Nothobranchius furzeri: one gene and its partners. The main gene of each other region encodes a partner of the protein of the gene in region 2 in a complex. Links are inferred from orthologs where the notes say so. Each region holds a gene or a part of one and is shown on either strand. Other genes may lie near its edges.

Region 1 (5,442 bases), on a different chromosome or scaffold from region 2:
TATCACGTGATCAGGAAGCAGAACATCCATGTGTTAGGAGATCGTTTTGGGCCGTTCCTGTAAAAAAAAGTGAGGCGCGAACCGGAAAAGCGTCTGCCGATCACAATTCGACAACGGATTATGAAAGAACGGATAATGCTCGAAACACACGGCTTCTTCCTGATGTAAGAGGTGAGTCTCCTCTTTGTTTTTGGTTGTTTTGGCATTGACATCATGCTAGCGCGCAACGTTCTGTGACTCTTAAAAAAAATCATAAAAATGGTGAGAAACGCTGGCAGCGAAGGCCGTTACCCCCAAATTCCACTACCTCCATTCCGCTCTGGTCCGGTCCGCCCCGCCTTCCGCAGCCGCTCGCTTCCAAACTCAATTTTTACTGGTACCCGCTCTACAACGGCTCCGCTCCGGTGCGGAGACCTGAGGTGGGCAAACAAGCATGCACGGGATTTTCGAGATCTTGCGATACAGTCCGAGCAATAAACGCGGAAGTTAGATCCAAACACCCGTTGTGTGGGAGAAGCATCGGCATGAACTGTTTAATCTGCCCATCATTTGTGTTGAGAGATCAGCAGTGTTTGGATGAACAAAGTGTGACTACTTTGATAGTAGAAACTGTATTTATGGCTTACTTTTGTGCATTTAAACTTCAGCCGCCACTGATAGTTGTTAAAAGTTGTTAAACCTGTGCATATGAAACAAAAAACGCCTTTTTTTATCGATTTATTGTGAAAAACGGAAGTTGTGCTTGCTCCTTTTCCTGTTGGGCGGTTGTGATTTCTGTCCATTTACTGCGGAGGTGCTCCGGCGTCCGGCGAAAATAGGATCGATTCTATTTTTGCCGGACGCCGGAACAGAGGGCAGCGCACTGCGCCGCATTGCCGGAGCACGGCCGCAGTAGTGGAATTGCTCTGATTGACTACAACGGGACCGATTTTGCTCCGGCGTTCGTGTCGGAGCGGAGGTAGTGGAATTTGGGGGTAAGTGATCAGGAAACGGCTGGCAGTGAGTGAGTTAAAAAACCAAACACACTGAGATCATTTCACACTGTGGCTAATTTGCATACAAATAATTCCATTAAGATGCCACAAGCGCAAAACAGGATGTCAAAACAAGTCAAGAGTAACAAGCGGCGAGTCAGTGGAGCTGATCTGAATTCTAACAAACCTCCAACTCTGTCTCTTCCTCCGGAAGCCCGAGCAGTCCTTTTAGCTCCTCCTCATCTCCTGTCTTACTGTCGCCGGTGCCAGCGCTTCCTTGGGTTTGGGGTTTTTCTCTGATGGTGTAGGTACGTGTTGACGCCCCGAAGGATATTGTAGAGTCGATTGGAACCTGCTGAGGCTTGTGAGGCTCAAGGCGAATGTGTCCGAGGAAGGTACCATGTGCTTAAATTGTAAAAAAATAATAATAATTAGGATTAATACATTAAAAGAGCAGAGTGACTGAGAAATAATTAAAGTGTTTGTGAAATCTTACTGCTATTAAGATCTATAAGGAAGAGCCTTTTTAGGTGTTTATGGTAGACTAGAGCGGCGTGAACACGCGAGCACGACTGATGGTCGATGGTGAAGTCACACCAGTCGGGGTTCCTACCAAACAGGTAGAACTTCTTTTCATCTATGATCAGTTTCTACAAGGAGAAACGGATGGTGTGAATTAGTAATGGCGTACATTAATGCATTTGTGCCTCTGAGTTATAACTCAACAGTGTTGCTTTCCACTGAAGGGCTTAAATCTCAGGGCTGATGTTGTTCTCGCACCTTTTGAAGCCATGCAGTCATAGGTTAACCCCATTGTGCAACACGCACAGGGCGGAGCAGACTGTCAGGCTTGTATCTGGTGCTTTTAACATTTGTACAATAGTAACAATCACATGTGTGTTCTGCTATGTGGAAAACAGAATCATTAGATGTTTAAAATAATAAGGAATGACATTTTATTGTGGAATTTGCTTATGTTTAAGAGATTAAACAAATCTGGATTTTTAACTTAGAAATTAAATAGAACTGAGATAATTAAAGCTGATTTTAAAGAGTCCAAACTAAATAACAGTTTAAATTTCCAGTTACCTCAACCAGTTTGTCTCCTTTCATCACGTCTAAGTGCAGTCCTGTGGGCGGTTTTCCTCCCCTATAAGAAACAATTAGAGACTTATTTAAACACTGAACTGATCTCAGAAAATACAGCAGTGCATAAATATATTTACAGCATATTTAACCATTTTATAATCTAATTTTAATTCATTTATTCAAACATTTAGCTCTTTTCACTCGAACCGAATACTTCAAGAGCATATCTGTCAAAAAATGTCCTGCTGTCACCTCTATACGTTTCAACTAGGTGAGAAACTTTTAAAATCAAGCCTTTCATTCATTTTCAAGCAGAAAGCAAACCGTGATCCGCATTTAGGCTAGCCTTGTAGGAGGGGTTAGCCTGCTAGCTCGATTGGATGCTAACGCTAACGAACTTCTTTCCTCTATAAAAGTTACAATTGTTAACGTAACAACGTCGTTTTGCTCGTTTGCACATAATCAAGCGCTGCAGTTGGTATTTTAGTACTTCAACATGTGCATTTTCTCACCATGATGGGCAGTCAAAAGGTGGACCGTCTTTGCTTGTTTTAGCTGCCATCTTCCCTCTACATGTTAACGATGCATTTTGGGTAATTGTCGCTTAGGAATGCTGGGAAATGTAGTCCGGTAATAGACCACGCCATATTAAAAAAAAGTAAAAGTACAAAAAACAAGCTAATATTTCGCATTTATAGATGTGGTTGTGTGTGGAACTTATATATTGTTGAGTTTATGATTAAATTCGGGTTTTAGAGTTAGTATGAAGTAGTCTACTAAAAATAATAAAGAAAAAAGTTCAGGTAAGTCACATTTATAGTTCATAAAAAACACTAATTTTATCATCACAAATCTACTACTGTGTGTAAAGTTGCAATTTGTTATCAAAAGAGAACATTAACGCGCAACAGGGGCGGAAACAGCTACTCACCTAATAATGATTAAATAAAAACAAATTATATAATTTCAGTCCAATTCTGTTAATATTAAAACAATAGACCTTAAATGATAAGTTTTTCTTTATACTGGAAAGATAATGTACATCATAACAACATAGTTTTGTTTAATGTAAACTGATTCTGTTTATATGTTTCAGACAGATGGAGGTGACAAATTTTACTTTTACTTAAGCAGCTTCTCTTCAGCCCAACAAAAACACAAATCAAGCACACGCAAGGGTGCCCCCAAGGGTGGCCAGGGGTGGCCATGGCCACCCCTAGAAAACAGCTTTTTAGTGCATTTTGTGTGACACAGCCAGATGTTTTTATTTTAAAACTTTTAACCTTTATTTAACAAGACAAAGTATTTCTTACAACTGTGGCCAATCCAAAGGTAGTGCCTTTTGACAGAAGGATGGGCTAAATTGCAAAAGTTACCTTTTCCACAAAAACAAAACAAAAACAATATTTTACAAGAACATCTAGATTGAGATGACTTACGGTTTTCTGTTTGAATAATTTAAGTAGCCCAAGACATTTGAGCAGATTCATTCAGATGATAATTTTAAAAGCCACTATTTTATTATTTGATAAAACCAGGCCATTTGTTTAACCAACAAGGATTTATCTCAAAGTCCATTTAGAAATGTTCATTAAAAAAAATTAACATTAAAAATTTGTTTGGTGTTTTTTAATGTTTCAAATAAGAAAAAAAAATGTCCTTTTTGTTTTAAGAGATATTAACATGTATTTGTCAAAAATGTGGCTTTTATAAAATTTAAAGTTCCTAAAGAAACCACTGGAGGTCTCTGAACTCCAAATTGCAAATTCTCAGTAAAGACCCAAAAAATAAAGTTTTGAAAAAGTTTGAAATGTTGGTTTGGAAACAGCGATACCACAAGCCTCCTACAGCATTTGTTACAAAGATTCAGCACCTAGAGTTTAACACAGAAAAGGGATGAATAAGTAGCCAGATTCGACTGACGCTTTGCTTATTTTCTCTTTCTGATTTGTAAACTGTGGGTTTGAGGGTCATAGGCTTCGGTCTTGTCATAGAAAAAGTAAAGCTGCCATACTTTTAGTTTCTCTTTAAAGCAGAAGGAAATGAGCCTGCAGTCTTTTTGTCCTTTTACAAATAAACTAATGCCATCAAAGTTCCCTTATAAATGATAAAACACAAAAAAGAACATGTTTGGGTAAGGTGCCTTTGATCATTCATTGGTTGAAAACATAGTTTGTCACAGGAAACATGTTAGACAAAACTGGTATGACTAAAATTAACCTATTTGATGTATCCAGGTGAGTCACATGAGAGTTTTTAGGTTATGTTCCTAGTTTGTGTTTTTCTTTCAGTTATTTGCAACAGAACAAGTCACATTCATCACACTTTATTTCCAATCATCCACTTCTTTCTAATCTGGCAATGACGTGTTTTTCATTTAGCTACTGGTACAAACCAAGAACCAATCTTAGCCTTGCAGTAACTTTTGTTTTAACAGTGAATTTTTTACATTTCAATTGGCTCCACAACAATAAGCTGCTGTCAACGATTTTTAAAATCACAAATCTTGACAGTAAAACAGGGCCTCCGTCATAACTCATAAACTTCCCCCCTCCCTTAAAAATGAAAAATGTTGTGCAAAAGCTCCTGTCACTTCCTCATATACTTTTGTGGTTTTGCTAGAAGCGCAACTCCTTTTTAGCTGCAGTCGTCATTTAACACTTGTCTTCAGTCTTATTTCGACTCGCCGAGGCAGCAACCATGGCAGGCATTGCTTTGCCGCTTCAAGATTTTATTGCATCGCTGGATCCCAGCAGTTTACCGAAAATTCTACAGATTTGCTCTGGAGTCTATTTCCAAGGTGGGTTTTATTTATTTATTTATTTATTTATTTATTTATTTATTTAGTTATGTATTTAGATCTGTTTTAAGATCATTATGATTTTATGACTTTATGATTAATTTTGTTTTGATTTCAATGAAGCCCCTTGTGATTCTTTGTCTGTGATGAGTGCTATATAAATAAGATTTACTTATTTATTAAGATAATAAAGGTACAAATTTCTGAGTATAGGAATGTAAAGATCAAACATTGTGTTTCCTAGCTAAATTAGTCACATTTATTATGATTAAAATTTTCATAATCATAAAAAACTTCATCATCGAGGCACATTTGGGAACTTTTATATGCCTGACGGGTTCGTTTCATGCATCAGGTTCGGTGTATGAAATATCTGGGAGTGAAGTTAGCTTCTCCACTGGGGATCTAATAAAAGTCATCGGTATTGAACTGCAGTCTGTCTCCTGTGAGGATGTTGCCAACAAGGAGACATTTGAACTGCCAGTCAGCCATGCAGGTTAGGAAGAAGTTCGTAATAGTACCATAGTTTGGTTGTTGTTGCAGCTCACTCACACATAATTGTTTTTTCAGGGCTGTTCA
Region 2 (6,114 bases):
CCCTTTTATATTCTCTAGCATTTCTACTCAGATGTAATTCTATGGTTTCCACATTCCTGTAGAAATGTTTTAATATATGTCCTTTCTCATCAGCACGAGTTATTTTCTACTGTAAATGTTTGTGACGTGAAATTCTGTGAAGTTATTCTGCGGTGCTGAATCATGCGAGTCACTTTTGTCTTTCTTGATTCATTTAATTAAACGTTAAAGCAATAAACGTTTGCATCGATGTAAACTTCATTTATTTTACAGACCTCTATTGAGGTGACCTGTTTGCTGGCTCTCTGTGGTTGTCCCTGTGCGGCGGGGCTGAAAATTGATGATCTGATGACTCCGGACGCCAGCTTTGGAACAGCATTCACTGCAAATCCACGGCTTCCTGTTTCAAGCTGGTCAATGCAAAATATTTAAAGAGTTTTTCAGCGGCACCTTCGGATTGTTTAGTCAGAAACGTGGGCTCCTCTAGTGAAGTTGGGGGTTGTGTGTGAACCTTTTAATCGTGCTATTTTATAACCACATAATTGATATTAGATGCAAACAAGTGTGAGGCTTTTTTTTTTCTTCCAGGGATGCCGTGAGCCGCCTCGCTGACTGCTGATCGGGACAGAACAGAGAGGCTGTCTGACTGCAGCCACTGACCTACATACACACACACTGCCTGTTATGTAAATTCCTCTGCCATCTTTTCAGGGGAAACTGTGCCAACTTTGTCGCCCGGGGTCTTTTTAGAGTAATCCATGTCCAGTCCATCCACTTCTCCCACTTTTATATGGAATAGTCGTCATGGTGACCAGCAGTGCTAAATAGGCATTGAGCTTTTGTGACAAATAACCACGTCTTTTTTATTGGCTGGGTGATTCATAAAGCTTCAAAATGCACCTTAACACTAATTTAAAGAAAATGTTTATGTCATGCTCTGTGAAATATTCCTGATAAATTCCAGCCTTCTATTCAGAGGTCGTCGGTCCATCACAAAGCTGCACAGATGTACAGTATAGATTCACATGTAGGACCGGTTTAGTGTAGCTAACTAACCAAACATGTAAATTATTGGGCTGTGGGAGAAAACCAAAGAACAAACAAAAACATAAACATGCACGCAAACTTAATTTAAAGATTTAGAGCTATCAGCCACACCGCAGTGTGGTCCCTCTATTGGCTTATTTGGCTAAAATAGGTTATTTGTCTTCCATTAGCTCAATTTTCACATGTATTTGGACAAAACAGCATGACAAATGTGTTGTCTTTATTGTGCATTGCAAAAATATTTTTGCACTATTTTCAGCACAAAATTGTAATGGGATGAAAACAATGTAGCTAAATATGTCACAAACTATAGGTGAAGACCACTTTAAATGATTACTATAAAATATGACTAATTCTAAATAAAATGACATCAGATTGAACTGGTAAAAAATATGTATTTTGCACCACAGTGCAGGGGCATCTTCCATTGGCATCTTCCTCTTTAGAGGGCCAAAAGTTCAACAGTTACAGAAATCATTAAATAATTTATTAAATGTATCATTAAATTAAGTACAATCTGAAATACATGAACAGTTTATTCATTATACATTCTTTAAAAAAAGCACCGCACATAAAAGTATCTAATTTATTTTTGAAAGCATAAATAGTTCATGATTTTAATGTAACCATAAGGTTTCTAATACAGGTTTAATTTTTTTTTACTTGAAAAAACTTTTACATAAATCCATTTCTAAATCTTTTAACCTTCGGTTTGGGATCACAACTATGGAAGCCCATTCCCGCCACTCAGATAAAATAAAAAAAAATTATTATCTCATAATTATGACTTAGCTATCTCATAATAATGAGATACTATCTCATTATTATGACTTAGTATCTCATAATTATGACTTAGTATCTCATAATTATGACTTAGCTATCTCATTATTATGAGACAGTATCTCATTATTACGACTTAGTATCTCATAATTATGACTTAGCTATCTCATTATTATGAGATACTATCTCATTATTATGAGATAGCTAAGTCATAATTATGAGATAATAATTTTATTTTATTTTATCTGAGTGGCCGGAATGGGCTTCCATAGCTCTTGACCTGGAAACGTATTTATTTATGTTTCTTTCGGTCCTCCTTATTCTTCAATACGTTTGTTATAAACTCGACTAACTCTGACTGAACTGCGGTTTCTCTTTCAGACCAGATGGTGTCGCTGTTGCATAACTCCGCGACTGCGTCGTTGTCACACACACGTTGACTTTTTAAGAGGTCATAGTTCGGTGGATGCGGAACTAGCATGCAGTAGCAACCAAACATGTCTGTGGTAGCGACTTGGTGTACAGTTTTGTGCTTATACGGATAGTTTTTGCTCCGCAGTGATTTGCTCTGCTGGAAACCTCACGATATTTTTATCATTGTTTTTATCAGGATTCTAATTAATGTTGGGTAAGTTGTTGATAAATATTTAATAATTCGCGTCAGCACAGCGCTGGAAGCGGTTTTTGTGTTTTGCTTGTTTGAGCTAAAGCTAACTAGCTTCATATTAGATATGAAATTAGCTTGTCCACCAAGCTATTAACGAGCACCTAATGCTTTAAATGCCTTTTGCTAACTACTTGTTGATGGAACATTTTACAGTCTCGAGCTTGTTAGCCTCAGTTATTAGCATTGCATTCAGAGTTTGTTTTGCAAGTAACCTTGATGTTTAATACAACTTTTTCACCGGCTAAATATGTGTTGATAGTTTTAAATACGTTTCTTCTTCTATTGTGTTGTTAGTGCCCGATGTTGAAGGTATTTATTTATTAGGTACGGTTTGGCAAGACAATTTGTTTCAGTTGAACTGTGAATAAATATGTTTATTTTCAGTTAAATTTCAAAAGATATTTTAAGCCTATGAAAGACCAATGTAGTTATGCAGTTGTGGACTTTTTCTAATTCTCTTTATTATTTAGATACGGCATGAGGCCCGCCCCGTGTGTGTGACCATTTAGATGTTAATGAATTAAACTAAATTTATTTTCAAAATGAATGTAGAACAAGTAAACAAAATATAAGTTTGTAATAACAAATCAAGCTTGTTAAAGAGCAAGTCACCCCCATAACAATATTTTTTGCTGATAAACCAAATGAGTGTCTAACCGTGCTGTAGACACGTGTAGTCAGTAATTAATCACATTAGTGCATCTCAGTTAAAATTTTAATTTTCTGCCTTTAACAGTCTGTGTTGCGCCCTCATCAGGTAAAAACTGCACTGCATTTCAATTTAAACCTGCCATCCCTATTGGCTAAGAGGTACTGATGTTGTCAACTGGTACCATATGATGTCACAGTGCCACTGTGAGCCTGTATTTGTGTTAGTGGCTCCACTGGGGTTGGACGATGGGGTGAATTTTTCAACCGTCGGCAATGGGCTGAACCATTGCGATTTTTATTACTAGAGGCGATTTGTCTTATTTATTTATCAATGTGTTTTGCTGTGCATACATTTGTTAATGACAGATATTTTACACGTTGCGCACAGACAACATAGCAGCGGGATGAAAAAAAAGATCTCCATCAGTGCATCAGAGCATTATTTCTCACTTATTCCGCATCTTGCTGCTTACATGGCGCGCTGAATAGGAGCTGGGAGTGTCTGTGATGCAATAAACATCGTGCAAAAGAACACAGTGTTGAGTGGAAAGTGGAAACTTTTCTTTCAGAGAGTCTGGAAGACTTATGGTTATTTAATTTGGAGAGATGTTTCCTGATTTTAAAACTTTGGCCTAAAGGCACAGGCACACCGGAGATGGATGAGCTGCATCGTGCCCGCTCCGTAGTTTTAAATAGAAGCCATTATAGTTAATGACAGTGGCTACGCGAAGAGCGCCGCGTTGATCCTAACGTATTCTAATAAATAGCGTACTTACTAGGGTTGTCATGGTAACCGGTGTAGCGGTAAACCTCGGTAAAAAAGTTGACAGTAATAATAACCGTCTTGTTTTTAAAAAATCTATATTATCTCTGTGGGTTTACCGTGGCTGCGGTGTAGGCGCGGTGACCCTTATCAGTCACCGTATCATCTGCTGAAGTTGCCTGGCGCGCTTTATTGTTTACAACCAAAACTTTCTTGAAGCTAAAGCTGAAATAATGGCCAAGGGAGGAGACGGCAGCACTCAGGAGGACATTTTTTATCCCTCAAAGAAGACAAAGTGGGAAGTACGGGCATCTTTTGGATATTTGAAGAATGCCGAGAGACAGCTGATAGAAGACGGCTATCCTGTTTGCAGTACATGCAGAAAAAGTATCTGTGAAAGGCAGCAACGCTTCAAATCTCATGACACATCTGCGTGACCATCACCCACAACTCTACAGTCAACGCAAGGCAAGCTAACATTAGCGTTTTAGCTAAAATGCGTGGTCCGAGGATTTGGGTCGAGGGAGAATGCAACGAGTCGCTATATAAAGCAGCCGCAGCGCCGCTACCTGCATATAAACCGTGTCACGGACACCCCCATGTTGAAATGACGCTATGCATTACGGGGCTCCCAGGGGCAGATAAGAGTTGGTCTCTCTCCGAGAATAATTATGAATTTAACAATGATTACTGCCTGATGACATTTTCCCACATCTGCAAAGCTCACTGGAAGGACACAAACCGAGGACAATATTTTCCTGATATAGGGTTTATTACTCAAGTAAGGGTAAAAAAGTATCTGATTAGAAGGCTGCTTGAGTACTGAGTATCATCTGATCTAATATTTTTAAATGATGACATCAAACAGACATAAAACAAGAAGTTATGGTCGAATATTGGTATTTTAAAGACTAAAGGGAAAAAATGTAAACAAATAAACAACATAATTACAAAATAACACATTTAGGCAAAATTTAGACACAAACTGAGGACAATATTTCCTGACATACAGGGTTTATTTAATTGTGTGAAAATGTAGCACGTTTAAAAAAATACCGCGATAATACCGAAAACCGTGGTAATTTTGGTCACAATAACCGTGAGGTTAAATTTCACACCGTGACAACCCTAGTGCTTACCCATATTTAATAAATTAGTCTCACAAAACATGACGGCAAGTTTGATCACATATAAACAATAGTCACTTCCCCCTTCCTGTTCTCAAATCCCACGTGATGTTGTGACTGATTGTTATTTCAAAAATGAAAGTGACGGGGATAACTGGATCATGTGACCTCTGGCTGCAATGCTCTCTACTAAGAGGCCGTCCAACTGCAGCAGCAATTAATTTCATTTCTCAGTCATAAAAGAAAGAAACCCAGTAGCCTTTGTTCAGGGAAAAAAAAAACCTTTTGCTTAAATAAAATACCCCAATAGTGGCACCGCAGAGAAGCAAAGACGAGGCTTCTTTTTAACATTTTAACTGTGTTTAATACGAGCTGTTTATACGTCACTCTACCAAACTACAAATACAAAATTAAATAAAAAGAAAAATCAAACTTTCTCCTTCAGCAAACATTTGCAAAAAAAAACCCAAGTGTTTGTACTTCTATTGTAATCAGTCATGACGTTGCTCAGAGTCACATGCACAAATAGATCGCCCATCGTCATTTATTGGACTGACTATTGGCAGTGGCAAAAATTGTACAAATCGCCCAACCCTAGGCTCCGCCCTCTCGGTCTGTCAGCCAACAGCATTTCTTGCATTTTTCAAATATGAACTGGGAGTGGAGTAAGACTCTGGTAGGGGGTGACTTGCTCTTTAAACTCCCATCAGTTTCAATTTTGCAAAAGAGAAAAACAACAAAAATATATTTTAATGATTATTAGTCATATTTAATCCTGACCGTTTGAGAATTTCCCAGAAAACTTTTTTATTGTTTTATTAATATTTTGTTTCCCAGCATCTGCGTACTTTAGGAGGAATGACCACCATCGTCCACGACACCACAGAGGCAGTGTGTCTGTCTGCTGAGTACAACCTGTACCTGAAGCCCATTGCCAAAATGACCGTCAGTGTAGCTTTGCCTCAGCTCAAGCTGCCAGGCAAGAGCATCTCCAACTGGGAGGTGATGGAGAGGGTAAAGGCCATGGTGGCTCCAGAGCAGTTTTCAGCTCTGCGTATCTCCAAGAGCACTTTGGACTTCATCCGCTTTGAGGGTGAAGT
Region 3 (5,337 bases), on a different chromosome or scaffold from region 2:
ACTACACATCCCTACTGTTGATACCACTTTACATTTCTGTTCCCCCTAAAAGACTACTTATTATGCTTATTACAAATATACAAATGCCAAAAGAGGGACTTAAAGTAGTATCATATAGATTGAGTTAATTTTAAATGGCTTGTTCATATGTTTAGGAATGCAAAATATATAAATAGTGAGACTCGGTCCTGCTGTTATCTTACAAATCAATGGTGACAGACTTTACACTTTAAACTGGGGCTCCCTTTGACATTTGTGGATATTTCATAATACAGTTATAAAATATAATAATATTTGCTAAAAGTATGTTTACAAATGCCCATTTAGCTAACAAGGCAGCAACTTAGTTTGAAATGTTTAAAATGGCAACTGTAGACAAAACATACAAGTGATTATATTTGGCTCACCATTTAGCAATTTTTGTCTCTTTCTTGCCCCCAATGACGATAAACACTTATAAAGAGTTACAGATGAATTAATTTCAACATATTTATTAACATTTACCAATCATTTATAAGGGGTGCCTTATTGTAAAGTGGTACCAACAATTATTTGGGGTTAGTTTGGAAAAATCCACCATTTCAAAGAAATAAGAAAACAAAGTACCGAAAAACTAATACCTGACTCTTAATTAGAGCTTGGTTTCAAAACTTGGTGCCTCTTCAGTCCGAAAATACTTAGTAGGTATTGGTATATTTTTGGTGCTAGACGTTGTGGTTTTGGCTTGGTTCAAAGTTAGCAGCCCTCTGCGGGCCCCTGGTGGCCCTATGCAATGCATGCCCTGCTTATTAACACACAATGCATCTATTTGAGCCGAAGTATGCACTGTCTTTAATCGTGAAAAAATAAAATAAAATAAATAAAAGCTGACCCGAGTCTACAACCTTTGTCCTCTGCTGCATCAACAGCAACAAGAAAAATAGCCAGGTCTCATGTTTACAGTGTACATAGTTTATCTCTTATTTACATTGTATGTTTATTCATTTTGTATTTATTTTGGGATCTAAATATTTTTATTTCATGTTTTTAGAGAAGATGTTTCATATGTCTTGCACCAAAGAATATATAATAGTTGCACTTTATTTTCATACTGTTAACCTTTGCTTTGTACTAAAAGCTAAATACTACCTTTTCCTATTTATAAACTGTATATATATATAAACTATTACATTTTTAAGATGACAGTAAAAAATGTTGCTTCCACCATTTAGACAAGCCTCTCTCAGTTAAGTGGATACAATATGCATATATTGGCAAACATACAACAAGGTACCCCCTGGTACAGAGTTTGCTCAGAGTAAGGAAACAACTTGATATGTTAATATGAGATTAGTAATCTTGTATTAGGAAATACCTGGCTAAAGGTGAGCAGTAAGCATCACGAGGGCCTGCAAAATTCATGGTTCCCTCTTCGAGAACTGTCCGCCCAGGCAAAAACTTTAGACTGTTTGGATTTGGAGTATCCTGTGTCTGCACAAACATGGACCTTCCTGTAACATAAAAAATGTAATGCAAATTTTTAAAAAGGGCTACAAGAGAATTGTGGTCATTTTCTGCATGTGCAGAATGCCCGATTTTCTCACAACACCTAAGCATCTGACATCACTGTGGAAAACGTGACAATAAAAGACAATCACTCTTATTTAATAAAAAGTCACACTAGAGGTTGCAGCAAATAAACAAACCAGGAACAGTCCAGAAGGGGTTTTGTGGCCATCTGTTTGAAACTCCAGTAGCTTGCGAGGGCCAGTGGAATCCATTGCTCTGACATCCACTGCCAACAAGACTGAAAATAATGAACAGATAAACAGTAATATAAAAAAAACATTCTTTATTATAAAAAATATTATGCTGTTGTGTGTAGGGACGATTTCTTTACCGTCACTAAAATGTGGCAATAATAAGACGGGTAAACTCCTGTTTAGAAGATGTGCGAACAAGCTCCTACACTGAACAGGAACACCAAATCAAATACAAATGCTATAACTAAGGAAAGCAAAACATTAATAAAAAGGCAATGGCGCGATGACAGAGTTGTTTCAGCACGCTTTAAAAACGCGTTCTGCACATTTGTTCTGGTGATTTGTATTTTTTCCCCTACTAAATAAAAATGATCAAAAAGATGGATGCAAGATAAAAATTTATTACATTTATGCAGGTTTGTTTAGTGTTAATTTTACTTTAAGGGCATTTTTGATGGGAAAAAACATCGTAATGAAACATTCCTCGTTTCCAGACCTAATGTTTAGTCTGCGTCATTCCACACTAAACCAACAAGCTTAAACACAGTCGCATAGAAATGACTCACATGTTGCAAAAAGTAAAAGAAAAAAAATTAAACACAATAGAAGGTAAAATCCTGCAAAATATCCACTTACGGTCGTGAAAGTCTAGCAGAAATCCCCAACAACCCGCTAACGTGTTTATAAGCCGCCATGATTGTTATGGTTGTGATCCTTCAAGAAGAACGGAAGTAGATTATACTTTTCCGGAAGTGACGAATATTTTTGTACGTCTGTTAAAGTTTCCCCCCGAAATTATCAGCGTCAAGCTTACGCGCAGTAAGGCGCTGCTTCTTCAAATATTTACGTTAAACTATCTAAATATGCCTTGTGGTAGGCATTTTAGAAGAAGACAAGATTCGTCGGATGATGAAGAGGAGGATGAAACAACAGAAGAAGTCAGGTAAAATACTCGAACAACGAGTTGTTAAGATATATGTTGTGTTAGCAAACTAGCCGCTAACCCAAAATTAAAGTAACAGAACGCCATTGTTGTTAGTTGTATTTTAATAAGCTGCCTACCTAAATATGTTTGTGCTTTTGTATTTTTTTTTCTTAGATCAAAAGTAGAAGAGGCTAAAGAACTTCAGAGTTTGAGGAAACGACAGAGCGGAGTCAGGTAACATGTTAATATGAATGTAGAATGGAAGACATCTTTATTATGTAGCACGTTTCACACAGAAGCAATTAGTTGTGCTTAATGTCAATACTTAACTGCTTGGATGTGAATTAACTTACACCTTTTACTTTTTGTCTAGTGTGACAGCTTTATTGGTGGGAGAGAAACTGCCTCCAGAAGTCGAAATTGATGTAAGTTTTCTTTGGAAAAAAAAATGTGTGTGTGTGTTGAATAGCAACATGTTGAACGTTTACTTTTTTATTGATCACTTCTGACAGAATGATCCTTTCAAACTGAAGACGGGAGGAGTTGTAGACATGAAGAAAGTGAAAGACAGGAATAGAGACATGTGAGTCAAGTTTTCCACCCTCAGGTGCAACATAGATACCTGCCTGAATGCTTTGTACAATTAAACCAAATCCAGTTAATCGGATATGACTGACTCATCCAGGATGATTCATTAACAGGACAGAAGATGAAACCGACCTCAGCCTGGGCACTTCATTCTCCGCCGAGACCAACAGAAGGGATGAAGATGCAGACATGTGAGCTTTTCTTTAAACTGTATTATAATCATTTCCTCTTCAGACTCAACATTGTCCAACCTCTATTTAAATTGTGCTCTGTTTTTTTCCTCTCTAACGGAAATTTCTGACTTTTGAGATAATTTTTCTCATGTCAAGAAATTCAATAATAAAAAAATTAAGAGGTGTGTGTAGGTCGTCAACATTCATGTCCCTTTAAGAAGCTGTACCACCCTGAGCCAAAATGTGACTCAACCTAACACATGTGACAGCCCCATCTAGGCCATATCGCCCAGCCCTAAAAGGAAGGTGTTCAGTTGATTTCCTCCGTCTGGCAAAAAATATTCCATCATACATAATAAAGTTGAATTTCCACAAAGAAAACAAATTAAAAACAAGTTTGGTCCAACAATGGCTGCCCTGGACAAGAAATAACACTGGTGTTTACCTGGGTTTTCATCTCTTTAAACAACTAAAATAGTGTCAGTATTTGTCAGAAATCAAATTTTGCTCAACAAAACAATTTATGCACCAACCCCTGAATTAACCAGCTGTTAATGTTGACTGTAAAATCAGTCAAACTACAAAGACTGCTTTTGTCTGAGATGAAATGGTGTTGGAACTTTTGTTAGCATGTTACTGGCTGGCTTCATTCAGCATTTTAAGAAAAGGCTTTTTATTCTACTAAAGAAAGTTGGAAAAGCAATCTCAATTCTTGAATTACATGAACTTTGTTACTAAATATTTAAGTATCTACAAGTTAGTATTCAAAATCTTAACGTAGCTGCCATCCAGTTGTTCGTGTGGGACATTTCCCATTGTGTTTTTCTTTACAGGATGAAATATATTGAGACAGAGTTAAAAAAGAAGAAAGGCCTGGTGGAGGCTGAGGAACAGAAAATTAAGGTGAAAAATGCAGAGGACCACCTGTACGAACTTCCTGAGAACATCCGAGTGAACTCTGCCAAGAAGACAGAGGAGATGTTGTCCAATCAGATGCTGAGTGGGATCCCGGAGGTTGACCTTGGCATTGAGTAAATTCAGAAGATTCTTTAATAATTCAGCTCTTTTTATTTTACTCAAATTAATCCCTGTCGTTTCATTCTCAGTGCAAAGATTAAAAACATTATCCAGACAGAAGAGGCAAAAGCCAAACTTCTGGCAGAGCAAAGGAACAAGAAGAAAGACCTCGGGACGTCGTTTGTTCCCACGAATATTGCTGTTAATTATGTCCAACATAACCGCTGTGAGTTCAGGCTGTCTGCATCCGTTCCAGCTAGAGGAGAAAAGTTTGTTAATCATGCTTTTGTTTTCTTTTAGTCTACCATGAGGATGCAAATGCACCACAAAGGCACAACAGACACAGAGAAGAGCCCAAAGCAAGACCGCTGCGAGTGGGCGACACAGAGAAGCCAGGCCCAGAGGGTACGAGACACGACCACACAGTCACAGATACAAACCAAAAACACTTTTTGGTTCCTTTTTTCCAGAAACCAAAACCTGTACTCGTTTCTTTTGTCTGTCCGTAGCTCCGTCGCCACCGAACCCACGCAAACGTCCAAACAACGAGAAGGCCACGGATGACTACCACTACGAGAAGTTTAAGAAGATGAACCGAAGATATTAAAAAGTTGCATCTGTTTCCTCCACACAATGGCATCTGAAAATGTGAGCCGTTGCTAATTATTATTGAAAACATTTGTTGACCAAAATGTTGAAGCTCCAGATTTGTGTGATTTCCTGTTTGGTTTTTCAAACAAGTCAGCAGCTTTAGCTTCACTCTAAGTCTACAGTATTTTAGAGCTGGCTGTTCAATTATTAAGTGTGTAAAAATATATCTCGGTTTGTTTTTTTAAAACAAGAACCATACTAAAGTTTAAAAGTGATGCACTTAGCTAATGAGATGGAATAA

The links.
Region 1: akap17a (region 2) and ppp1r8b share a complex: the UniProt entries of both Homo sapiens proteins name them as parts of the spliceosome. The link is inferred for Nothobranchius furzeri from reciprocal best matches to the Homo sapiens genes AKAP17A and PPP1R8.
Region 3: akap17a (region 2) and c17h9orf78 share a complex: the UniProt entries of both Homo sapiens proteins name them as parts of the spliceosome. The link is inferred for Nothobranchius furzeri from reciprocal best matches to the Homo sapiens genes AKAP17A and C9orf78.

What each region holds. Positions count from the first base shown.
Region 1 is NC_091745.1:71,998,901-72,004,342, reverse strand, and holds the start of ppp1r8b (protein phosphatase 1, regulatory subunit 8b), read right to left. Parts: upstream 2,832-5,442; 5' UTR 2,626-2,831; coding exon 2,576-2,625; intron 2,125-2,575; coding exon 2,064-2,124; intron 1,840-2,063; exon of another isoform or gene 1,674-1,839; intron 1,625-1,673; coding exon 1,471-1,624; intron 1,380-1,470; coding exon 1,162-1,379; intron 1-1,161. Other genes in the region: protein THEMIS2, read left to right, coding at 4,764-4,863, 5,219-5,359, 5,434-5,442. UniProt on the Homo sapiens protein: Inhibitor subunit of the major nuclear protein phosphatase-1 (PP-1). It has RNA-binding activity but does not cleave RNA and may target PP-1 to RNA-associated substrates. May also be involved in pre-mRNA splicing.
Region 2 is NC_091754.1:16,998,687-17,004,800, reverse strand, and holds the start of akap17a (A-kinase anchor protein 17A), read left to right. Parts: upstream 1-2,253; 5' UTR 2,254-2,434; intron 2,435-5,851; 5' UTR 5,852-5,872; coding exon 5,873-6,114. UniProt on the Homo sapiens protein: Splice factor regulating alternative splice site selection for certain mRNA precursors. Mediates regulation of pre-mRNA splicing in a PKA-dependent manner.
Region 3 is NC_091757.1:40,165,819-40,171,155, reverse strand, and holds the start of c17h9orf78 (splicing factor C9orf78 homolog), read left to right. Parts: upstream 1-2,506; 5' UTR 2,507-2,605; coding exon 2,606-2,685; intron 2,686-2,841; coding exon 2,842-2,901; intron 2,902-3,040; coding exon 3,041-3,092; intron 3,093-3,179; coding exon 3,180-3,250; intron 3,251-3,368; coding exon 3,369-3,446; intron 3,447-4,261; coding exon 4,262-4,459; intron 4,460-4,534; coding exon 4,535-4,671; intron 4,672-4,745; coding exon 4,746-4,850; intron 4,851-4,954; coding exon 4,955-5,052; 3' UTR 5,053-5,337. Other genes in the region: NFU1 iron-sulfur cluster scaffold homolog, mitochondrial, read right to left, coding at 1,355-1,490, 1,686-1,786, 2,379-2,437. UniProt on the Homo sapiens protein: Plays a role in pre-mRNA splicing by promoting usage of the upstream 3'-splice site at alternative NAGNAG splice sites; these are sites featuring alternative acceptor motifs separated by only a few nucleotides. May also modulate exon inclusion events.